Linked DNA regions of Sus scrofa. The protein of the gene in region 3 purifies or fractionates together with the protein of the main gene of each other region. This does not show direct contact. Links are inferred from orthologs where the notes say so. Each region holds a gene or a part of one and is shown on either strand. Other genes may lie near its edges.

Region 1 (4,164 bases), on a different chromosome or scaffold from region 3:
GGCTCATACAGCCCTAGGAGCGGAGGACAGGGGGGAAGAAGGGGGTCCTGAGGATCGGAATGGCTCCCGCCTCCTCTACGCACCCAGAAAATTAGAAAGGAGCGACCCCTGCACCCTCTTCAAACTGGTCCGTTAACCAAAGCCTGCCCTGAAACACGAGGAGAGAGGGGCCAACCCAACCCGCCTGGAGTGGCCCAGAATGGACCCGGGATGAAAGGGGGAAGGGAGGGGGGCAGCCCAGACTGCACGCCTCAGTCCGTCCTTTGAACCCCTAATGCATCCTTCCGAAGAAGGGCCCGGCTTTCCCGAGTGCTGCGAACACTGCCCTTCCTTCCCGCCGGTACCTGGCCGGGCTGTAACTTCACACCGCCGCGCGCCGCGTCTGCTCCGCATCCGGCGCGGCTGGGCGAGTGGGGGGCGGGGGAGAGCGGCGAGGGAGGGATGCGCGGGGGTGGGGAGAGGGAGGGCCCGCAACGTGCCCGGGCGGGGGAGCTTTCGAAGTATGTGACAAGTTCCAGGGCCCAGTGAAAAACTCAATTCCCTATGCGCAACCCCCCCCCCCAGACACACACCCCTTTTAAAAAAATACAGAGCTAGGTATAGGGTGGTCCTTTAAAATTGCAGCAAAAATTAAATTAAGGGTCAAGAATGAGGAGGGGAAGGGAAGTGGGCCCTCACGCCTTTCTTTCTCTTGCAGCCAAACTTTCCTAAGTATCCATCGCCTGCCTTTCCAGGCGCATTCTGTTAAGCCAGGAGACTGCTACCCACTCACCCACCCCAACCCCTCTTATACAGATTCACAAGGAAACACCACCACCCCCGCCCCCGCGTTCAAGTCTAGGTCCGAGGTAGAGAGCAAGAACCTAAGGGTGGGGTGCGTAGGGTCCTGGGGTCGAACACTCCCAAAATGCCCATTCCAACATACTACTCCTTTACCCCACCCCCACCCCCACTTGGCTTCGACGCTCTCAGGACCCGGGGGCTGGTGCCCAGTGCGGGTGGGAGGGGGGCCGGGAAAGCACGTGGTGACCTCCTCGCCGCCCAGAGCTGGAGGCAAGAGACGTCGGGGGTAGGGAGCGGACAGAACTAGCTTTTTCGGTTGCTTTGCTAAATAAAAATGCTTTGCAAAGCCGAGTTTCTCCCCAGACGATTTCGCAGCAGGGTTGGCCGGGAGGAGGTCTAGGCATTGTGCTGGGGCTCCAGGGTGGACCCTGAACCCGGCAGGCTCGGAGTTGCAGCACAGCCTTCCGCTGTGCAGGCGGACAGGCGGGCGAGCAAGCGGGCGGGCGGCGGGCGCTGGGTGGGCGATCCCGGGCGGGGCGGGGGCGCGGCGAGGCCCGGCAAGGCCCGGGCGAGGCCCGGCCACAGCCGCCGCCCGCTCCCGGGCTGCCGCGCAGTGCTCGGTCCTCTCTGTCTGTTTGTTGGCAGGAGACTCCCGCACACGCGGTGCTTGTAAACATTCAGACACGAGATTTTTCCCAATCAAAATCCACTTCCACTTTTTTTGAAAATCTTCCAAAAAATAGTAAGAGGAGGGAGTTCCTCGCTCCCTCTCCGTGCCGCCGGCGCTCTAAGTTTTCAACTAAAGGGGTTTTGAGGAGGGAGGGGTGGTAATTGTGTTTTTCCCCTCAATTAGAGAATGTGATATTTTTGCGGGGGGGGGGGCGAATCTAAGAGGAGAGCGTTGCAGAAAACGGCCGGCGGAGCGTTTTGCGTCAGTTGGAGGGCAAGAAATTTCACATTCTCTTGACCTGTTTTATTTATTTTGTTTTGTTTTGTTTTGTTTTGTTTTACACGTCTTCTCGCCGCCACTGAGGTTCGGCCGGGAGGAGCGGGCAGCAGCAACCCGGGAGGCGGTGATCGGGGTGCCCTCCCTCCCTCTCCCGCTCGCCCCCGGCCCTTGCTCCTGCCCTTCGGCGGCAGCGGCGGCGGCGCGGGAGGGCAAGCGCAAGGAGCCGGCACAAAAGGCAGCGGGACAAACACCCACCTCCGACCGGAACAAAAGGCAGCAGCGCCGGCCGCTTCTCCGGTCCTTCCCTGTCGCCCTCTCCCTACAGCCTCAGCCCCATTCCAGACTCGGCCGACTCCGGAGCGCCGGGGGCCCCCCTCCCACAATCCCACTTTCTCACTATTGTAGAGATGACTACTTTCCTCCGGTGCACGCTTTACCGTGAGAGCCCCGGTGTCCGAGGGCCAGTCTCACCTCTTTCCTCCCTAGGAATTGTTTTTTTAAGACTTGGGTCCCCACCCCCCGTTTTCCTTTCTACGGTGAGTGGAAGTAACCCCCCTTTTCCCCTCCGGTTCCCTCCCTTAGGTTTACACGAGAGTTGTTAGCATCCACAGCATTGTTCATTATTTTGCAAAATTGGAGGGGAAATCATTGCATTCCTTTTCGAAAAGCGAAATAAAGCAGCGGAAAGCAGGAAAGAGGAGGAGTCTTTTTTAATTTTTGTAAAATTAAATAAAATTGAAAGGTTCGTGCCACCCCAAAAGTATACATACGGCTATGTTTCGGGATGGGATGAGGTTGGTTTTCTGCCCCCCCCCAATCTCTTTTATCCCGACTCTCGGAGGTTTTTCTCGTGAAAAAAAAAAATTTAAATGCATGCACACACCCCTTTCTCCCCCTCTCTCTTGCTTCTCGTCCTGCGCGCTCTCGTGATTATTAATAATTATTATTACTATTATTGGGTTACTTACGCGAGAATTCCCGTTTGCTTAAGTGCTGGGGTTTGCCTTGCTTGCGGCGAGACATGGTGGGCTGCGGGGCGGGCGGCGGCGGCGGCGGCGGCGGCGGGCGGACGACGGCTCGGTTCACATCGGGAGAGCCGGGTTAGAAAGAAGGAGACTCCAGAGAAAATATCTTCATCAGTGCCTTTTGACATCCAAAATAAATTAGAAATAATACAAAGATGGCGCAGGGAAGATGAATTGTGGGAGAGCCGTCATGGCTTTTTTTTTTTTAAGCAAAAAAAAAAAAGAGAGAGAGAGAGAGAGAGAGCAGAGATAGAGGGAGAGAGAGAGAGAGAGAGAGAGAGATGAAAAAAATGGCAAAAGCCCCCCTGAGCTGCAAGTTCAAGTGCGGACGTGACGTCCCTGCGAACTTGAACGTCAGGAGTCTGGATGGACAGAGACACACAAAACATGGGCAGGGCGAGCAGGAGAGAAGGGGAGGAGGGAAGGGGAAGCTCACACCAATGGACACACATCAGGGGCTGGACATGAAAAAGAGACCAGGACAAGCCAATGGCCAGTGCGGGGCGGGGGAGGTGCGGGGCGGGGGGCTCCGCAGACGCCAGACGCGGCCCCCGGGGGAGGGGCGGGCGGAGGGGAGGGGGCTCTGGGGCCGCGGGCTCACCAGTGGCCGCAGCGAGCGCCGAGGCGGCGGCGTGGCCGGGAGAGAAGAAAGGGGCGGCGGGGCGGGGGGGGAGCAAGACGTACGCCCTGCTCCCCCCCGCACGCGGAACCTAAAATGAAAGATTATTTAAAATTAAAAAAATAAAAAAGCCAGAGTGTACGGGGAAGCTGCTGGGGCCGGGGAAGCGCGGGCGGAGGGAAGCCAGGTAGAGTTGTTCCCGGACACCCTCCTGCGTGCGCACACCCACTTCCCCTCTCCGCCGCAGCCGCAGCTGCGCTCGTGCCCCGCGTGGGGACGCCGGGGACCGAAGTAAAAGCTCTGAGCCCGCGGCTGCACTCTAGAAACTTTGCCGGAGAAGAGGATAGCAAAGAAAAACCACCCGAAGTTGAGAGCAGAGCCTCCAAGTTACAGCTCCGCTGCGGACGAGGGGAGGCGGGAGGGAGCGCGCGGCGAAGCAGAGTCCAGCTCAAGTTTGGAGGGTTGCGGGTCCGAAAGGACAGCGCCAGGGGCTCCGAGAGACAGGCGGCCTGGAGAGTCGGGGGAGGGCGGGGAAGGCGGTGCAGGCCGGGCCGGAGGGCCGGGAGGGCATCCCTCAGGCTAAGCCGGGGGTTGGGCCGGGGGGTGGGGGCTGCGGGGGAGACTCTCAACGCCTCGACAAGCTATCGGGTCTGAATGCAACTGGGAGCTGCGAGTCGAGGTTCTGAACGGATCGTGGAAAGAGAGACTGAGGAATAAAGAGCTGGAAGCCAAACTCCGGGCATGTTCCAGCCCCCGGAGTGGAGCGACCGGACCCAGGGCGAGGGAGG
Region 2 (3,508 bases), on a different chromosome or scaffold from region 3:
GAACCTCTAGTCCGGCCTCAAGCATTGCCTCAACCCTCACGGTGTCAGCAGGGCCTCCCCTCCAACTAGATCTGGTCCCGCTTCTGACCCAAGTCCCTCTTCGGCACTGTGCCTTTCTTCCCTCGTCCCTACCTTGAATCTCCGGGCCAGGAACTTATTTTTCATCTCCAGAAAGTTCCCCTTATTAGCTTCAGTTTTAAATGGCTCGTTGATAATGGCAAACTGAGCATCGTTCTGGATGTCCTGCCACCGTGCGTAGCCATGGCTGCCGATGAAACGGGGGGACCATCAAGGCATTTAACAGGGACAGGCTAGGCTGTGCACACGCCCTCCTTTGGCCTGACCGCTCCCCGTGTGGCACTAAGCCCCCGTGTGGCACTAAGCCCCAGTGTCTTGCGTGGACTTGCATTCTCTGTAGTGCCCCTCTCCCCAGGTTGAGAGAACAGGTTTTTCCTTGCATTTGTATCAAAGGATACAGGACAATCCCAGCCAGAAGCCAATAGTCATGTCTTCGGTGCCAGATCTCATTGAGTTTCCCCGAGGAAATAGCTGCCCGTTCCTCATTCTGCCACAGTGTGTGAAGCTCTAAAGAGAGGACAGAAGATGGATGAGGCGTCAGCATTTGCGACCCACATCCAGCCCAGCAGACAGGTACAGAGGAGGGAACTGAATGGTGGGAGAGGACGAAGGGCTCTTTAAGGAGAACAAGGCAAGGTCAGGTGAGGAGCTGGGAAGCAGACTAGTTACAAGCAGGTTCAAGCTAGGATGAAGGACACAGGTGGGGTGAAAGGCAGCTTTGGAGTTGAGCGTACACTTAAAGAGGCCCAAGGGCGAGGCTCAGAGACAGCACGCACCACCTCACGGCAGTTCCTTGCAATTACAGGTAGCAGGAGGCCTCAGGCCAAATGGGAAACCCGAGAGGATGAGCAAACACCGGTGAGGAGCAGGGGGCAGTGAGAAGCCGCACCTGTGAAGCCACCGTCTGCAATGTTGAACATGAACCGCGGCTTCTCCACCTTCTCCTCGCGTCGCCCATTGGACCGCAGCTCGTCTCGAGGAGGCCCAGGTCGGAGCTCCCGGTCCCCTTTCACGTCTTCGGCTACGGCAAATGGGGCAGAGCTCACGCCTCAGGAGGCAGTTCCCTCCCAGGTTCCAGGACTACTCTCTGTACTGTACTGGCCCCTGGAATCGCTGCCCACCCGGGACCTCCGGCACTCGGCTCCCCAGACTCCACCTCCCGATTCCCTCAGGGACCCGGGTGGCCGGTCCTTCCACCCATTACCTCTCTTGCCCAAATCCCCTGTCTCCCCCTCCGGCCTCTCCCTCTGTTCCTGTCCATCCAACGGCTTCTCCTCCCCCCTCTCTCCTGGCGTCGACTCTGTGGCTGTGGGAGGGGGTAGGGGACAGGAAGGGAGGTTGTCACCCTCATCCCCTGACCCCAGAAGAAGGAACCCCCATATTCTAAGCCCCCATCACCCCTAAGGCGATGCACCCACCTGACTTCTCTCTGTCCCCCCGGTACCCAGGTTCAGGCTCCATCTCTCCAGGTCCCCCTGGCCCCTCATCCTCTAGAGGAACCTTCCTTGGCTCCAGCCGCTCCCCAAGTGACGGGGCTGGGCTGGGAGTGTCCGCCTAGAAGAGGACAGGGGAGTCAGGACAAAGCCGAGGGCTCCCAGGCACCCGCCCCAAGGCGCCACCACTCCCTCCTCTCGGGGGAACCAGGGAGCCCCATACCTCTGCCTCCATCTTCTCCCCAGTTTTGCTATTCTTCTCTGGCTTCTCCTCCTGGTTTTCTGCTTCATCCTTCTCCAGAGGTGTCCTCATGCCCTCTCCTTTCTCACTTGGAGCTGGAGTAGCTGCAGGGGTAAGGCAGGGTGAAGAAGGCAGAACCTCCCCAGCCCAACTCCAATCCCTCCCCGTCTAACGGACCCTGGCCCTGTCTGTCTCTCTTGCCACCCCAAGCTGATTACCAGGTTTCGAGGTGCAAGGACTGTTGGCAGCAGAAGCCTCAGGAGTGGTGGGGGAGGTCTTGGTAGGAGAGGAGGCTCTGGAGGAGCGCTTGGAGTCAGCGCTGGGGTCAGGCATCAGCTCCGGCATAGACCAGCGCCCGTTGATGTGCTCAAACTCCTGAACCTGAAGGGTGCAGGGGAGGTGGAGGGACAGGGGTCAGCTCCAGGCACTGGACACGACAGGCTCCAGCCCCTCCTGCCTTGTCTCGCCCCAGCCTGAGTCTGAACCAGGGGATGCGGCAGAGGGGGCCAGAGCCAGGCAGCCCACGTGACCTTGCGGGTGAGGGGAAGACCGATACCTTCTTCTTGACGAGTGACATGACTCCAATGCGGGTCAACACTTGCTGGCGACTCAGTCCCTCCCGAGGGACCCCGTCCGCAAAGGTTTCAGAGCCGTCTGCCCCGGGCTCACAGAGATGGCGCATGAACAAAGACACATAGGCCCTGAGGAGCATGGAGGCGGGAGGCAGGTCAGGAGAGCCTTGGGGGGGCACAGGGATGACGGAGCCCTGAAACTGAACCTCCTGGGTGCCGCCAGGAGTCTCCCCTGGCCTCTCAATCCCACCACGACCAGCCCTCCAGGAGGTAACTCCCCCCCACCCCCACCCCTGCCACTGCATTTCCAGGCTCCCTGGCCTTGGGACTTCATTCCTAGGCCCCATCAGTCAGCTCTTCATCCTTTCCACGGGCTCCCCGCCGGCCATCGTGGCCAAAGGAATGTGAGGCAGGACAGCCCAGGAGAGGCTGCGGTCTTCACCGCCTCTCCCACTAGCAGGGAGACCGGCCTCTGCGCTCTAGGCTCGTCTGAGGGGAGGTGGGGCAGGCTGGGCCCACCCCCCAGGAAACCGAGCCGGGAACTGTCGTCTGGGGTCGTCTGGCGGGGAGCACAGTGATCAGGTGAGTAAGGTCACATCACATGGTGGCCAGGACGAAGACAGTAACACCCGCAGTCTGACCCTTCCATCTACCTGGGCCCCGCGTCGCCCACACTCACTTGAACTCCTTCTCCGTCTTGCCCCTCAGGTCGCGCACCAGCCACTGGGTGGTGAAGGCGTCCTGCGGCGGCATGCCCCAGCGCATCACGGCGTTGAGGAAGGCTTTCCGCTGACGGGTGTTGAACCCCAGCACCTGAGGAAGGGGGAGGACGGCGTGGGCCATGAACGGCGGGGCTCTCACCCTCAGTGACTCAGCTTCAATTTCCCAGCCCCCAGCCTTCACTCCTTCCTCAGGGAACCGTCGGGCGCTGGGCGCCGCTCTCACCTCAATGTTGCCCCCAACTCGAGCCAGCAGTGGAGGCAGCGGCTTGTCTTTTTCATTCCGGAGCTGCCTCTTGGACTGTCGACGCCCTGGACGAGAGAGAGTGACCCCAGTTGGCAGCTGTGCCGCCTCCTCCGCCCCCCAGTCTTCCCGAGCTCGCCCCTCCCCCAGGGCAGGAAGCCAGGCAAGGCCCGCGTCACGGGCCAGGCACATCTATTTTCCTCCCTGCGCATGCTGAACTA
Region 3 (4,102 bases):
CCCCTCTTCTGAGCACTCCGGAAACCCTGTGCGAAGGCAAGGGGGACCACACCCCCCACACCCTTTCTGATTGGACAAGGCCAAGGTCAGCCCCTGCCAGATGGGACTGGAAACCCCAGAGGGCCGGAGAACTTGGTAGGCTCAGCTCATTAACCCTTTCATGCCCAACACCCAAAGCCGCCAAAAGTAAGCAAAATGATTTAGAAAGGAAGAATAAGAGAAAGGGGAAAGAAAGCCAAAACAGGAAAGGAAAAAAAAAACTAAGGGGAATTGAAAGACATGAATTTAACAAGAAAAAACAAAAGCGTAAAGAGAAAGCGGATAGGGCCAAAAAAAAAAAAAAAAAAAAAAAAACGAAAGATGTAAAATGGAGAAGAGAGGCCAGGATGGGTGAGAAAAAGTTCTTAAAAAAAAACCTTCTGGGCTTCCTATTCTCTCCCATCAATATAGCCTTACCCCCTTGATCACAAAACCCTCTACTTCCCTGTTATGCAAGCTTTTAAGTACAATCTCTTCCTGTTCACCTTGACCTTCGCAGTCACCACCCATTGTCCCAACACAACCAAAACTGTCCCCAAGAGTGTTGCTTCTCCAAATTAGAGCTCTTCTCCATCCCCCTTTTAAACATTACCACCTCTTTTACATACCCCACTCACACAAACACACACACAAATACACACCAGCCAAATTCTCACTTTTCATGTCATGGTTTCTCCACACTGCTTCCAACCCAACGTGTAAAAACAGGCCTCCCTCTGCAGACCAGGCATTTCCCACCCCCAAACTCACACCCCTGCCTTGAGCATGATACCAAGAGAAACACCTGCACGGACATGCCCAGGTTTCAGATCATGGGCAGGGGGAGACGGGGGTACAAAGACACTCACTGGCATTACTATCAGCCAGGCTGTTGAGGCTACCAGAAATGTCCCTTCGCCGGAAAAGGCACACAACCTTTGCCTCCACATTTCCATTTGCCGTCTAAGGAGAGAGAGAAAACAAAACAAAATAAAAAAAAAAAACACTGTGAAAACTAGTCATTTGAAAGTAGAACTGCAGAAAGACAAGACTAACAACATCAAACAGGTTTCTGAAGGATATAAGAAAAACCCAAGAAATTATGAATCAAGACGTTTGCATTTAAGGACAGACTTCCAAATCCCTTTATAGAACAGTCAAGATCCTCTAAGGTGTCAAGAGCCTTTCCTGAATGCATGGGATGAACAAATGAATGAATGAATATGAATGAATACTTAGAACAGGCTTCATGTTCTCCTGCTCTCTTCCTCTTTCCCTCCCTCTCTCATTCACCTGAAGTTAGAGACCAGGGGAGGGACTGGGCGGGGGGGGGGGGGGGGGGGGGGGGAGCCCAGAAGACTCTGCTCCACTCACCTTGTTGAGCTCTTCAATCCTTCTCACCAGGTAAGGATTGCTGGAGGAGTTCTCAAAATAGACGTAATCTGTAGGAGGGGGTGGGGAAGAACCGGGAAGATCAGAGGAGCGGATGGGAGAGCCGAGCACGAGAGTAGGAGGAACGAAAAGGAGGCCTGAGTGGACCCAAAGGAGAAAAGGGTCTAGGCAGAGAAGTCGCTGAAATGTGGAAGTGGAGAGACTAACAGAACGTAAGGGAGGGGTGCCCCACCCGCCACCCCTAACCACCCAAAAGTGAGCCTTAAGGAGGAGCCCAGAAGCAGGGGGTTCCCCAGCAGGCGCCGCAACTCAGCGATGGAGTTGCACCCGGTGTCGGCCAAGCGAACAATTGTTCACTCCAGCGCAGGGCCCCCACCTTTGCGAACCCAGGCGCACAATAACGCCTGGGGAGAGGAAGCCTCCCGGCTGCTCCCCCGCAGATGGCAAAGCGGTCGCCCCGGCCCTTCGCGCCCCCTAGCCTGCCCTGTCAGCTCCTTCGGAACCACTTTCCCAAGCCCACCCCGCGACCCCGGCGGCGCCAGGCGCAGCCCTGCGAGTGCCGTCGGGCCGCCCGAAGTCTCTCCGGCAGTCTCGGTGACCCGCCGCGTCGCGGTCCCCGCGCCCTCGCTCCCCGTGCGACCGGTTCCGGTTCCGGTCCGCGCTCCGGACCACGCCGCCCCAGACGCGACTCCCCGTGCCGCCGGGCGCCAAGCCTCTCCGGTCCCGGCCCCCGACCTCTCTCGCCCCGGGCCCCGCAGCCCCTACGCCCGGTACTTACCCCCCACTCGGTACATGTTGGCCGCCATGGCCGTTCCCGCCGCCGCCTCCGGCCGCACAAAGGGGTCCGGGAGGCTCGCGGGGGCAGGGCTCGAAGCGAAGCCCTGAGCGTGGGGCTGGCGCTTCGCAGAAGTCTCTGTCTGGCTCGCGCAGCCGGCACCTCCGCCACCTCAGCCGTCGCGGTTCATCCCGGCCCGCGCTGTCGCCACCGCCTCTATCGCCTCACGCCCGGGACGCCGAGGCCGTAGCCGGTCCGCTCGGCTTCTTCCGGAACGAGCTCGGCTCCCGCCGGACCGGGCCAGGCTCCAGCTCTCCCGCCCTCGCCGAGCCCCACTAGACGTTGGACTTTGCGGGCCGCCGCGAAGGCTTGCCCTGCCCGCCTCGGGGTTCGCCTCCTTCCGGAACACCTTCGGCGGATCCGGAGAACAAGGCCCAGCGCTCGGGTCCGGTCGGAGAGCGAGACCTCAAAGCTCGGCTACTTCCGGAAGAAGTTCGGCTCCCTCCGGCCAATCGCGTCCCGGCGCTCGGTTATTTCCGTTGCGGCTCGGCCCCGCCTCCGAGGGCGAGAGAGGAGTTGGGCTTAACTCTCTCCTCGCCCGAGTCCCGCGGCGGCGAAAGACTCGTAGCGCCTCCGCACTCCGCGGGGTTATTTGCAAGCGGCTTTGCCTGTTATTTGCATGAAAGGTCTACTCTCCCTCACCCTTTCCGCATTCCCCTTTTCCTTCACCCCACCCCACAGAGCCCCGAGGCGCCCAGCCGCGCCCGACAAAAGGACCGGGAGGCGACTTTGCTTTTGGTTTATTGCCCCTCAGCAGGTAGCGGGAGTCAGGGCCCAGGCTGGGGCTGCCCGGCTCAGCCAGCGGGTCTTTACAGTGTGTGCAGGGGTGCCGTTCGCCCCCTGCAGGGAAATGAGCTTTCGGGAATGTCTCGAAGTCTAGGACTGGGTCGGCCCGGGTCCTGGGAAACTTGGGCGGGGCGGGGCCACGCTGCAGGGCCGGTGGGTCCCGTCGGGCAGCGGTCAGACGTCGAGAGAGGAGGCGGGGGACAGCGAGGGAGTTCGAGAGGGCGTGGCAGGCGCCTGCCCCGCGCTCCCAGCGCCCAGCACTCGCCACTGGAAGATGCTGGCGTCCTTGCCGCCCAGCGAGACGAGGTGCGAGTCGTCGTACGTGAACCGGACGCTGGTCACGTGGCTGCCGTGACCGCCGTACACGAGGCTCGGCGCCTGGGCAGGAGGGAAGGTCGAGCTGCAGCGGCCGTGGAGCCCCAGGGCCCTGACCTGCCGTCCCCGGAGGCCCTGGGAGGCCTCTCACCTTGGCGCGCGCGCACGGGTACTGGAAGAGGTGCACTTTGCAGAAGTCGTCGGCCACAGCCACCACGCGCTCATTGTGGGAACGGCACAGGGAGTTGATGTCGGTTCCATCAGAGCCATCCGGCCACACGCCTAGCACAGCCGTCGGCCTTAGCCCTGCCTCCCCGCCACCACCCACAGCCCAGAGCTGCACCAATTCCAGCGCTCAGTCAGTCCCGCCACCCACCAGCCGCGTTCCAGGCAATCTTTCCCGGTCCCAAGGGCCTGCTGGAGGGGCCCCCCAGGGCTGGATCTGCCCATCCCTCCACACATGCCCAGCATTCCGAGCCCCGGGCAGTCTGCACCTTGTCCCCCGACTCTCGAGGCATAGTTCTGGGGCCCTGCGTCCCTGCTCACCATAGACATGAAAGCCCAGCACGCAGGTGTAGGTGGCCCACTCCCGGTCTCGGCTGTCATAGCGATTCCTCAGCAGCTTACAGCCTCCAGCCACGTCCCCTGGGGAGAGGGAGCCCACCCAGATCAGGTCTCACCCTGCCCTCAGCTGGAAGATGCCATAGAAGGCCAAGTTGGAAATACTTGAGGCACTGGCATGTGATCTGGTCCCCA
Region 4 (4,046 bases), about 60 Mb from region 3:
AGGGATCCAACCTGAGCCACAGCAGTGACCAGGGTGGATCCTTAACTGCTAGGCCACAGGAAACTCCATCAGTTGAGAAGAGTTACACCTTCATTAACAAGGAGATAAGGGAATTTTTCCCTTTTTATGGCTGCACCTGCGGCATATGGAAGTTCCTGGGCGAGGGGCTGAATCGGAGCTGCAGCTGTGGCCTATGCCACAGCTACCACAACATGGGATCCGAGCCACATCTTTGACCAAGGCCACAGCTTACAATAACGCAGGATCCTTAACCCACTGAGCAAGGCCAGGGATGGAACCCACATCCTCACAGGATCCTTAACCCATTGAGCCACAATGGGAACTCCACTAAGGAAGTGATTTAAGGGAATAATGAATGCTATGTTTATGTGTATGTTTGGTACACTGAAATTCAAAATTTTAAGCTGTTGAGAGGGTCACATAAGCTGACAATGTCAATGCTCTGAGGCAGAAACCCAAAACTCCATACCTAAAATACGCAATTCTAGTTCAAAGCAATATGCAACCTAGGGTGAATGGTGGATTGTAACACTCGCCTAAAAACATTCAAATTCAGCCAAACACAATACTTCTCTTGCCCAATAAAAGCCATAGCTGAAGGGAAAGGTTTTGACAAGAAGCAGACCTCAGTGGGAATCCTTGTTTCCTCACAGTGAGCTCCTATGGCAACCACTCTAGAGAACACTTAAGGATTAAGTGAGATAATATAAAATGTTTTATACAATTAGCAGAACTGGGAAAAACCAGATTAGTCAATTAACAGTGCTAACATGAAGGGCTTCATGTGCCAGGGCAGATTGTCATTTAATCCAGCACCACTTTAAAGCCCATGTTAGGAGTTCCCGTCGTGGCACAGTGGTTAACGAATCCGACTAGGAACCGAGAGGTTGCGGGTTCGGTCCCTGCCCTTGCTCGGTGGGTTAACGATCCGGCGTTGCCGTGAGCTGTGGTGTAGGTTACAGACGCGGCTCGGATCCAGCGTTGCTGTGGCTCTGGCATAGGCCGGTGGCTGCAGCTCCGATTCAACCCCTAGCCTGGGAACCTTCAACTCCTAGCCTGGGAACTTCCCTATGCCTTGGGTGTGGCCCTAAAAAGACAAAAAAAAAAAAAGAACCACCCTCTAACTGTGGTTAAGAGGTGGTCTGGGGAAAGGATCAAGATGGCAGAGGAGGCGTTCCCATCGTGGCTCAGTGGTTAATGAACCCGACTAGGAACCATGAGGTTGCGGGTTTGATCCCTAGCCTTGCTCAGTGGGTTAAGGATCTGGCGTTGCCATGAACTGTGGTGTAGGTCACAGACGTGGCTCGGTTCCCACATTGCTGTGGCTCTGGCACAGGCCAGCAGCAACAGCTCTGATTAGACCCCTAGCCTGGGAACCTCCATATGCTGAGAGTGCAGCCCTAGAAAAGGCAAAAAGAAAGAAAAAAAGATGGCGGAGAGTAAGACGTGGCGCTCACCTTCTCCCACAAACACATCAAGAAGTGGCCTGACACTTGAAAGGGAGAGCCAAATTCTCCCAACACCTACTCTTCCCACCCCCAAAGCCCAAATCAGAACTGGCCTGGCACAACTATGGGAAACAAGCACGGGATGGGGGTGGGAATGGCAAAATCAGGTTTCACAAATCTGGTTGGGAAGTGTTTGGGGCTGGTCAAGGATCCTGAGACTAGGGCTCCAAGTGAGATCTGCAAGTTTCAGGAGTGAAATTGATGCCCTTCAGGAACATGAAGCCGGGGCTCAACGGTCTTTCGGCCCATCCATGTGCACCGAATAGCTGTAGCAGGGTCCATATATTAAGTGTTGCCGTCTCACTCCCCCTACACACACGAAACTGGTCGGTTCTCCCTGGCAAGGCTTCCTTATTGCCCACAGCTCACAGGCACAGATTTACTAGCAGAAACCACTCCGCTTTCACTCTGCCCAAGCCCGACTCTCACTGCATGGTCAGAATTCCTTCTAGGATGCTACTTCCCTAACTGTGTGGGGTGATGGAGGGAGCCCCCCGGGGAAGACAGGGCTCGCAAACCTGAGCCGGCCGCGCCCGGGACCCAACCGGCGACGTCGGTCTCTGGAGGCTGCCATCAGGATGCGTAGTGTAGGGGCGCTGAGGGGGGCCCCCCCAAATGCCCCCAGGGACCTGGATGGCCCGACCACCCCCACCCCCCAGCAGACCGGGCACCGGAAGTGGAGGCCGAAGTGCTGGGCCTGAGGGGTATCCTGAGGCCGCGGGTTGCCCACTTCCTGCGCGACCAGGCTGGCGGCAGGGGCCGGGCCCGTGGCTACTCAGGAAAGGGGGTTCCCCACGGCAAACCCAAAGCTTGGTCTACTTTGAGATCAGAAGAGACCCCAAATTCCTAGTCATCAGGGAGCCGTGAGGGGCCTCGGCCCATTTTGGCGCCAAACGGCCAAGGGCGCGCGCGACCGGAAGTGCCACCCTGCCCGCGCCAACTGCCGCCGCGCGCCGCGCCATCCCACGCATGCGCGCCCGTCTGTCAGCGGCCACGGGCTACCCCGAGGGGAAGCAACTCCCCCACCCCCACCGCCTTGCCACCCTCCCACGTTCGCAGTCCCCCGCGGCACCTACCGCCTGCGGACATCGTCAGGCAGTGAGAACGCCCGGGAGGCCAAAGCGGCCACCCGCGCTGGGGCGGTACGGGCAGGCATCTTGGAAGGTGCAGCAGAGACAGCAGCAGCACAGGCAGCCCTGGCTTTTCGCGCGGAAACCGATGGGGAGGGGCGGCGAGCGGAGGCAGCGCGTACCATCCCGGCCCAGGCGTGGGGGAAGGCGGGACGTACCACACTGAGAGAGGCCGTACCACGTGCGGGCCGACTCAGTGGAGCTGGTTGTGCGCAGGGGCTGCGCATGCGCGAGGCGGGCGCGCACCCCCGCGCGGAGAAGTGGGCTGGTCCAAGCTTCTGTTTGCTGGGAGCCTTGCCTGAGACATTCATTCATTCTTTCCCACAAGCTAGGGATAAAATGAGGAGTATCCCCATGGGATTTCCGTGTGTGGGCTCTAGAGTTCAATTACTCAGTTCCAACCTACACCTATTTGCTCACGATAACAACCTTGGGCAGGTCATTTGGATCCAGCCCTAGTTTCCTTATGTCTGTGAAAAGGCTCTAATAACACTCCAGAAAATATTGAGGATGCACAAAATAGCTGGCACCAAAGATCCCACAGGGCAGGGAAATTTGGGCCACTGCCACAGCCCAGGGTGCTTAAAACGGATAGTCTCTTCAACAAATGGTGCTGAGAGGGAGTTCCCACTACAGCGGCTCCAGTGTCTGGTGGAGGCACAGGTTCAGCTGGTGCCGCCATTTAAAAAAGTAGTGCTAAGCAAATCAGATATCTACATGCAAGAGAATAAAATTGGACCCTTAACTTACACCTTAGGTAAAACAGTTAACTCAATGGGAGTTTGAGGTCAGCAGATGCAAACTGCTACCTGTGGATAAACAAGGTCTTAGTCTATAGTACAGGGAACTATATTCAACATCCTGTGATAAACCCTAATGGCAAAGAATGGAAAACAAGAATGTATAGGAGTTTCTTTGTGGTGCAGCAGGTTAAGGATCTGGCTTTGCCACTGCAGTGCCCAGGTCCCTGGCCCAGGAAGTTACACATGCTGCAGCCTTGGTTTAAGAAGAAAAAAAAAAAAAAAGGAGTTCCTGTCGTGGCTCAGTGGTTAACGAATCCGACTAGGAACCATGAGGTTTCGGGTTTGATCCCTGGCCTTGCTCCGTGGGTTAAGGATCCGGCATTGCCGTGAACTGTGGTGTAGGTCACAGATGCGGCTTGGATCCTGCATCGCTGTGGTTCTGGCATAGGCCGGTGGTTACAGCTCTGATTAGACTCCTAACCTGGGAACCTCCATATGCCGCGGGAGCAGCCCTAGAAAAGGCAAAAAGGCAAAAAGGCAAAAAGGCAAAAAAAAAAAAAAAAAAAAAAAAAAAAAAAAGAAAGTATAATATATACCTGAAATCACTTTCCTGTACAGCATAAATTAACACTGTAAATCAATTA
Region 5 (4,263 bases), on a different chromosome or scaffold from region 3:
GCCTCAGGCCTCCCCTTCCCCAGCCCACAGCCCCTTACCCCCTGGCACCGCTGGTAATGGTACTTGAGCCCGTAGATGCTGGGGAACTCCAGCCAGCACCCGGAGTTTGGACACTTCACCCTCGAGTGCGCCTTGAATTCATCCTTCCACTGGTTCATCAGGGAGAGCTGGGCGTGGGAAAGGCCAGGCTGCTGACCCTGCAGCCGTCCCGGCCTCTGCCGGCCAGCCCGACCCAGGGCCTTGCCTGGGCTTGCAGGACTAGGTCCGCCTGCATGGCCCCCTAGGCCTGAGGCAACACCCTGAAGCCCCGATGCACGGAGCGGCTGGGGACATGGGCTGAGGCGTGGCACTGGACGAGCCACCAGCCAGCACGGTAAGGCAATGGGCTCACAGGCAGACCCCGCGAGAGCCCCACCCAGCCCTCGGGGAGCTCACAGGAATGTCTCGGAGGGCCTGGTTCTCAGCTTTCGGACGCCCCTTTTTCTTCCCTTCTGTCCTATCACCGGCTGGACTTCCCAGGTCAAAGCAGAGCGGGGCCTGGCCGGGCATTGTCTGCCCACCTCGGACCGCTGGCAGCCCTGCAGCAGACAACATGCCAAGGCTTGGTGGCTATGCTCCCCATGGGCCAGCCACGCCTGGTGGTGAGCTAGCTTCCCCATACCGAGCGTGGGGGGCAGGAGCCTGCAGTCAGGCTAGGATGAGAATGCAGGGCCCCGGGCTGCCCCTGCCCTGGGAATCCTCTCAGGAGCCCAGGCAGGCACTCAGGAGCTGGATGCCCAGTGAGGCCCGCACCCAGCACTGGCTGCACGTGACCAGGCGAGCGGACCTTAGGCTGACTCCTCTTACCCAGCTTTGGTGGGTCATGAAGCATGGGAAGTCGGACCTCGTTCCGGCCGCCATCCTTCCCAGGTCCGCTCTTGCTGGACCCTGGGAGTCGGCGGCCTCCTCCAACACAAAAGGGGTCGGTCATCTCTGCAAAGCAAGTGCACCCACTGGTGAGGCCCACCAGGCCCAACTTAGGATGAGAAATGGGCTGCCCTCGAACCCCACCCACAGGCAGGCCCACTCTCTGGCCCAAGGAAGGGGAGCGTGCCCGCCTGTGCTTGGGGCTGCAAGGGAAAGCAGGTGATGGGTGGGGGAGGCTTCTGGTTTAGGGGAGCACCTGGGAACACCTTTTCCCACAGCCCCACCCGGAGGCGGCTCACTGTCTCGCCAGATAACCCAGGAGACCCCATTGGCTTGGAAGAATGTGACCCTCTCCTGAGACCCTCACCGGCTCTGGGGGGCTCCCTCTGTCTCCAGACACACGATCCCAGAGAGTGCGGAGAGTCATGCATCTCCTACCTGGTGCTCGGCTGGCGGCGGCCCCAGGACGTGGGGGGGGGGGCGCCCCGAGGAGGGAGGCTAGCGGCACCCCTCGGGGGGCCAATTAGGACACCAGTGTGGCTGCTGGCTCACAGGCTGTGCTGGCTGGGCACCTGGGAACACCTTCCCCCGCAGCCCCACCCAGACCCAAGGCCATGCGACGGGACCGGGCGGGTGCCCTTGCATCCTTCTCCCAGGACACGGAGGGAAGATGGCCAAGCCTGGCCACTCCCCAGCTGCAACACACACCCTCTGGGGGGGGGGCAGCCAAGGACCCTGCAGCTCCTGGTTCTGGCCCCTGTGCCAGCTGAGCCCTCCCACCTGATCCTCTTCTTGGCCTTCTTTCCAGTTGGGGCCCCTGCAACCAGAAGGATACCTCAGGCTGGGTTCCTCGGCCACCCTTCGCCTAGCTGACCTCATCACCTCCACCCCCGAGACCCTGTCACCAACCTACAGGTCCACCAGCACCACGTCAGAGACCACAGGAAACATCCTGCTGCCCGAGACCGGGCCTCTGTGGGCCTGTTCTGCTGGGGGCCCCCCTCACGTGGGGAGCCCCTCCAGGTTCGGGGGTTGTGTGCGCAGGGTACCCCTCCCTTGGTGGTTTCAAACTAATTTATATCCAAAGGGAAGGGAAGGAGCTGCCGTGCCTAGGCGGTCCAGAGACTGGCTTGGCCGACTGAGGTCAGAGGTCAGCACAGTTACTGCGCCTGGTGTCCGGATGCCTGGAGCCTGGGTCTGGGGGAGGTGTGCGTCTAGAGCGCTCTGAGCAAACTTCTCTGGAAGTCCTCCCCCTGACACTCAGGAGACAGTCATCCTCAGTTACCCACGCCCCGCGATGACCCCAGAGGCAGGAGGAGTGGGGGCTGCTGAGAGCCACCTTTCCAGTGTTCCCCCAGCCTGGGTGGAGGATTCGGAGTTGGGGGCCGGGGAGAGTGCGGGCCTCGGGGGCAGACTCCCTCCTTCCACCCAGGGCCTGTGACTCGCGCACCAGGAGGAGAAAGGGCTTCCGCCCTCCCGGAGGGCCCAGCAGGGTCGCAAAGGTGGGACACTCGCGGGGAGGGGGGTTGGAGTGCCACGCGCTGACCGCTGGCGACGCTGGCGGCGGGACCTCGGCCAACGCCGCTCAGCCGGGGACCCCGGCCCAGGCCCGGGCGCACGGATGAGGCTGACCTGGGGACGCACACTTGGAGGCTGGCCTCGCCACCCACCTGTCACCTGCGGCGGGTGCGGGCCCGGCCTGGCCCGGGAAGGGCCGCGGATCGCGGACGCCTTGGGGTGGGGGGGTGCCCAAAGGCACTGAACCAAAATGGCGACTTTTTCTGGAGAAGGAGGAGGCAGGGACGCGGCGCCGACGCCGGGCGCGGGGCGCGGCGCAGGGGTCCGGGCGCGGCGGGGGCGGGCGCGCGGGGACGGGACGCAGGGCCCGGATCCTCGACTTGCGCGCGGGGTCAGGGTCGGGGGCGCGGCCCACGCGAGCCTGCCCGGGGGGCGCGGCCGGGGGCGCGGCCGGGCGCTTACCTGCGGCGCCCAGCGGGCCGGAGCCGGGCGGGGGCGGGGGCCGGGGCCGGGGCCGGGCCGGGCCGGGGCGCGGGGCGCGGGGTCCGGGCGGCGCAGGCTGCGCGCCGCGCTGCGCACATGCGCGCTCCCGCCCCTCCCACCTTTGACAGTTTTACTGTGGGGGGGAGGGGGCGAACTCTCGCGGTATTCCTGCCGCCGCTCCGCGACGGGGAGCCGGGTCGGGGGAGGGGGCCCATCCGGCCGGCCGCGCGCCGGCGGCCGCCTGCGTCCGCCGGGCCGCCGGCGCGAGGGGGCCGGGGCTGCCCCTGCGGGCCGGGAGGCGGTGTTCAGGCGGTGGGGTCGGCCGAGGCTCGGCAGGGGTCCGGGTACTGCCCCACTCCCGGCGCGCGTGGATTGAAGCGACGACGGGGTGTCTCCAGGACCTGGCCCTGCGAAGGTGTGGCCGTCGGAGGCCGAGGTCTCCCCGGACCTTGAACTCCTGGCCACCGGGCCCAGGAGCCTGCACGCGCTGCCTCTTTTCCAGCCAGCCCTGTGACCACGTCTGCCTGTGGCCACCCTCACGAACTCGCTTGGGTCCTGGCAGGGCCTGGGCAGCTAGAGGCCAGGGGCTTTGTTGGGATTCCTGCCCTTTGGAGCAGCCTCTGTCTACTTTGGGGGGAGGGTGGTCCTGGGCCAGCGGCCAGTGCCTTGCTCCTTTGTGCCCCAGAAGTATTGGGTCTGGGGGTGGGGGTGGGGCACCAGCCTCACCAGGACTGGGCAATGAGCCGAGCAGAGAAGGGGTGCTAGTAGGGAAACAGAGGCACGAGGTGCACCTCCTTCCCTGGGGCCCTTCCCACGTGCTCTGTCCACACCGGAGCAGCTCCTCCTACACCGCTCATGGGAAGATTTGGGGTCCTCCTCACCTCACGGGGAGGGATCGTTGCCTCTCACGGGGGCAGAGGCGGGGTGCCCTCTGCAGGGGGGTTAGTCTTTCCCTTGGAAGTCAGAGCCTGTGCCTGCCCTGGTGTCGAGACGCAGGATTTCAGGCAGGGGGCTGGTGTGTGCGCCTGAGGCGCACCCAGGTTCGCCAGCTTTCCTCGTGCAAGTCTGCATGTCTACGTGGAATGTGTCCACACCTGTTGGTAGGTGTGTGTCCCTCTGCTCATGTGTGTCAAGCAGTGTCCTGTTTGGCCATAGAGGTGTCAGGGCACGTCTCTGTCCTGTACTAGAAGAAAAAGATGCCTGTTGTATGTTCATGTCCAGGTGACTGCACAGAGGGTATGGCGGGGTGTTTGGTTCTTGGTGAATGTGTGTCCAGGCCACAGTGCGTCTGCATGTCAGGGCAGGGTGTGATGTCTGTGTTGTGTAGGGGGTACACTGGGCCTGGTGTCTTGCCCG

Evidence for each region.
Region 1: the proteins of MTA2 (region 3) and BCL11A purify together in Homo sapiens (affinity purification with mass spectrometry; 4 studies listed by BioGRID and IntAct, with this or other methods). This does not show direct contact. The link is inferred for Sus scrofa from reciprocal best matches to the Homo sapiens genes MTA2 and BCL11A.
Region 2: the proteins of MTA2 (region 3) and CHD3 purify together in Homo sapiens (affinity purification with mass spectrometry; 8 studies listed by BioGRID and IntAct, with this or other methods). This does not show direct contact. The link is inferred for Sus scrofa from reciprocal best matches to the Homo sapiens genes MTA2 and CHD3.
Region 4: the proteins of MTA2 (region 3) and DNMT1 purify together in Homo sapiens (affinity purification with western blotting; 3 studies listed by BioGRID and IntAct, with this or other methods). This does not show direct contact. The link is inferred for Sus scrofa from reciprocal best matches to the Homo sapiens genes MTA2 and DNMT1.
Region 5: the proteins of MTA2 (region 3) and ZNF512B purify together in Homo sapiens (affinity purification with mass spectrometry; 3 studies listed by BioGRID and IntAct, with this or other methods). This does not show direct contact. The link is inferred for Sus scrofa from reciprocal best matches to the Homo sapiens genes MTA2 and ZNF512B.

The regions. Positions count from the first base shown.
Region 1 is NC_010445.4:81,196,526-81,200,689, reverse strand, and holds the start of BCL11A (B-cell lymphoma/leukemia 11A), read right to left. Parts: upstream 2,805-4,164; 5' UTR 2,756-2,804; coding exon 2,701-2,755; intron 1,246-2,700; exon of another isoform or gene 394-1,245; coding exon of another isoform or gene 345-393; intron 1-344. UniProt on the Homo sapiens protein: Transcription factor. Associated with the BAF SWI/SNF chromatin remodeling complex. Binds to the 5'-TGACCA-3' sequence motif in regulatory regions of target genes, including a distal promoter of the HBG1 hemoglobin subunit gamma-1 gene.
Region 2 is NC_010454.4:53,156,037-53,159,544, reverse strand, and holds part of CHD3 (chromodomain-helicase-DNA-binding protein 3), read right to left. Parts: intron 3,356-3,508; coding exon 3,270-3,355; intron 3,138-3,269; coding exon 3,004-3,137; intron 2,454-3,003; coding exon 2,309-2,453; intron 2,134-2,308; coding exon 1,971-2,133; intron 1,857-1,970; coding exon 1,735-1,856; intron 1,633-1,734; coding exon 1,497-1,632; intron 1,385-1,496; coding exon 1,283-1,384; intron 1,100-1,282; coding exon 968-1,099; intron 586-967; coding exon 477-585; intron 266-476; coding exon 133-265; intron 1-132.
Region 3 is NC_010444.4:9,136,520-9,140,621, reverse strand, and holds the start of MTA2 (metastasis-associated protein MTA2), read right to left. Parts: upstream 2,805-4,102; 5' UTR 2,217-2,804; coding exon 2,189-2,216; intron 2,041-2,188; exon of another isoform or gene 1,787-2,040; intron 1,461-1,786; coding exon 1,393-1,460; intron 982-1,392; coding exon 888-981; intron 1-887. Other genes in the region: EML3 (echinoderm microtubule-associated protein-like 3), read right to left, coding at 3,206-3,409, 3,498-3,628, 3,893-3,991. UniProt on the Homo sapiens protein: May function as a transcriptional coregulator. Acts as a component of the histone deacetylase NuRD complex which participates in the remodeling of chromatin.
Region 4 is NC_010444.4:69,026,950-69,030,995, forward strand, and holds the start of DNMT1 (DNA (cytosine-5)-methyltransferase 1), read right to left. Parts: upstream 2,801-4,046; 5' UTR 2,785-2,800; coding exon 2,606-2,784; intron 2,469-2,605; exon of another isoform or gene 2,104-2,468; coding exon of another isoform or gene 2,048-2,103; intron 1-2,047. UniProt on the Homo sapiens protein: Methylates CpG residues. Preferentially methylates hemimethylated DNA. Associates with DNA replication sites in S phase maintaining the methylation pattern in the newly synthesized strand, that is essential for epigenetic inheritance.
Region 5 is NC_010459.5:62,804,399-62,808,661, forward strand, and holds the start of ZNF512B (zinc finger protein 512B), read right to left. Parts: upstream 2,804-4,263; 5' UTR 2,577-2,803; intron 2,412-2,576; exon of another isoform or gene 1,724-2,411; 5' UTR 1,338-1,723; coding exon 1,274-1,337; intron 973-1,273; coding exon 847-972; intron 579-846; coding exon 436-578; intron 168-435; coding exon 39-167; intron 1-38. UniProt on the Homo sapiens protein: Involved in transcriptional regulation by repressing gene expression. Associates with the nucleosome remodeling and histone deacetylase (NuRD) complex, which promotes transcriptional repression by histone deacetylation and nucleosome remodeling.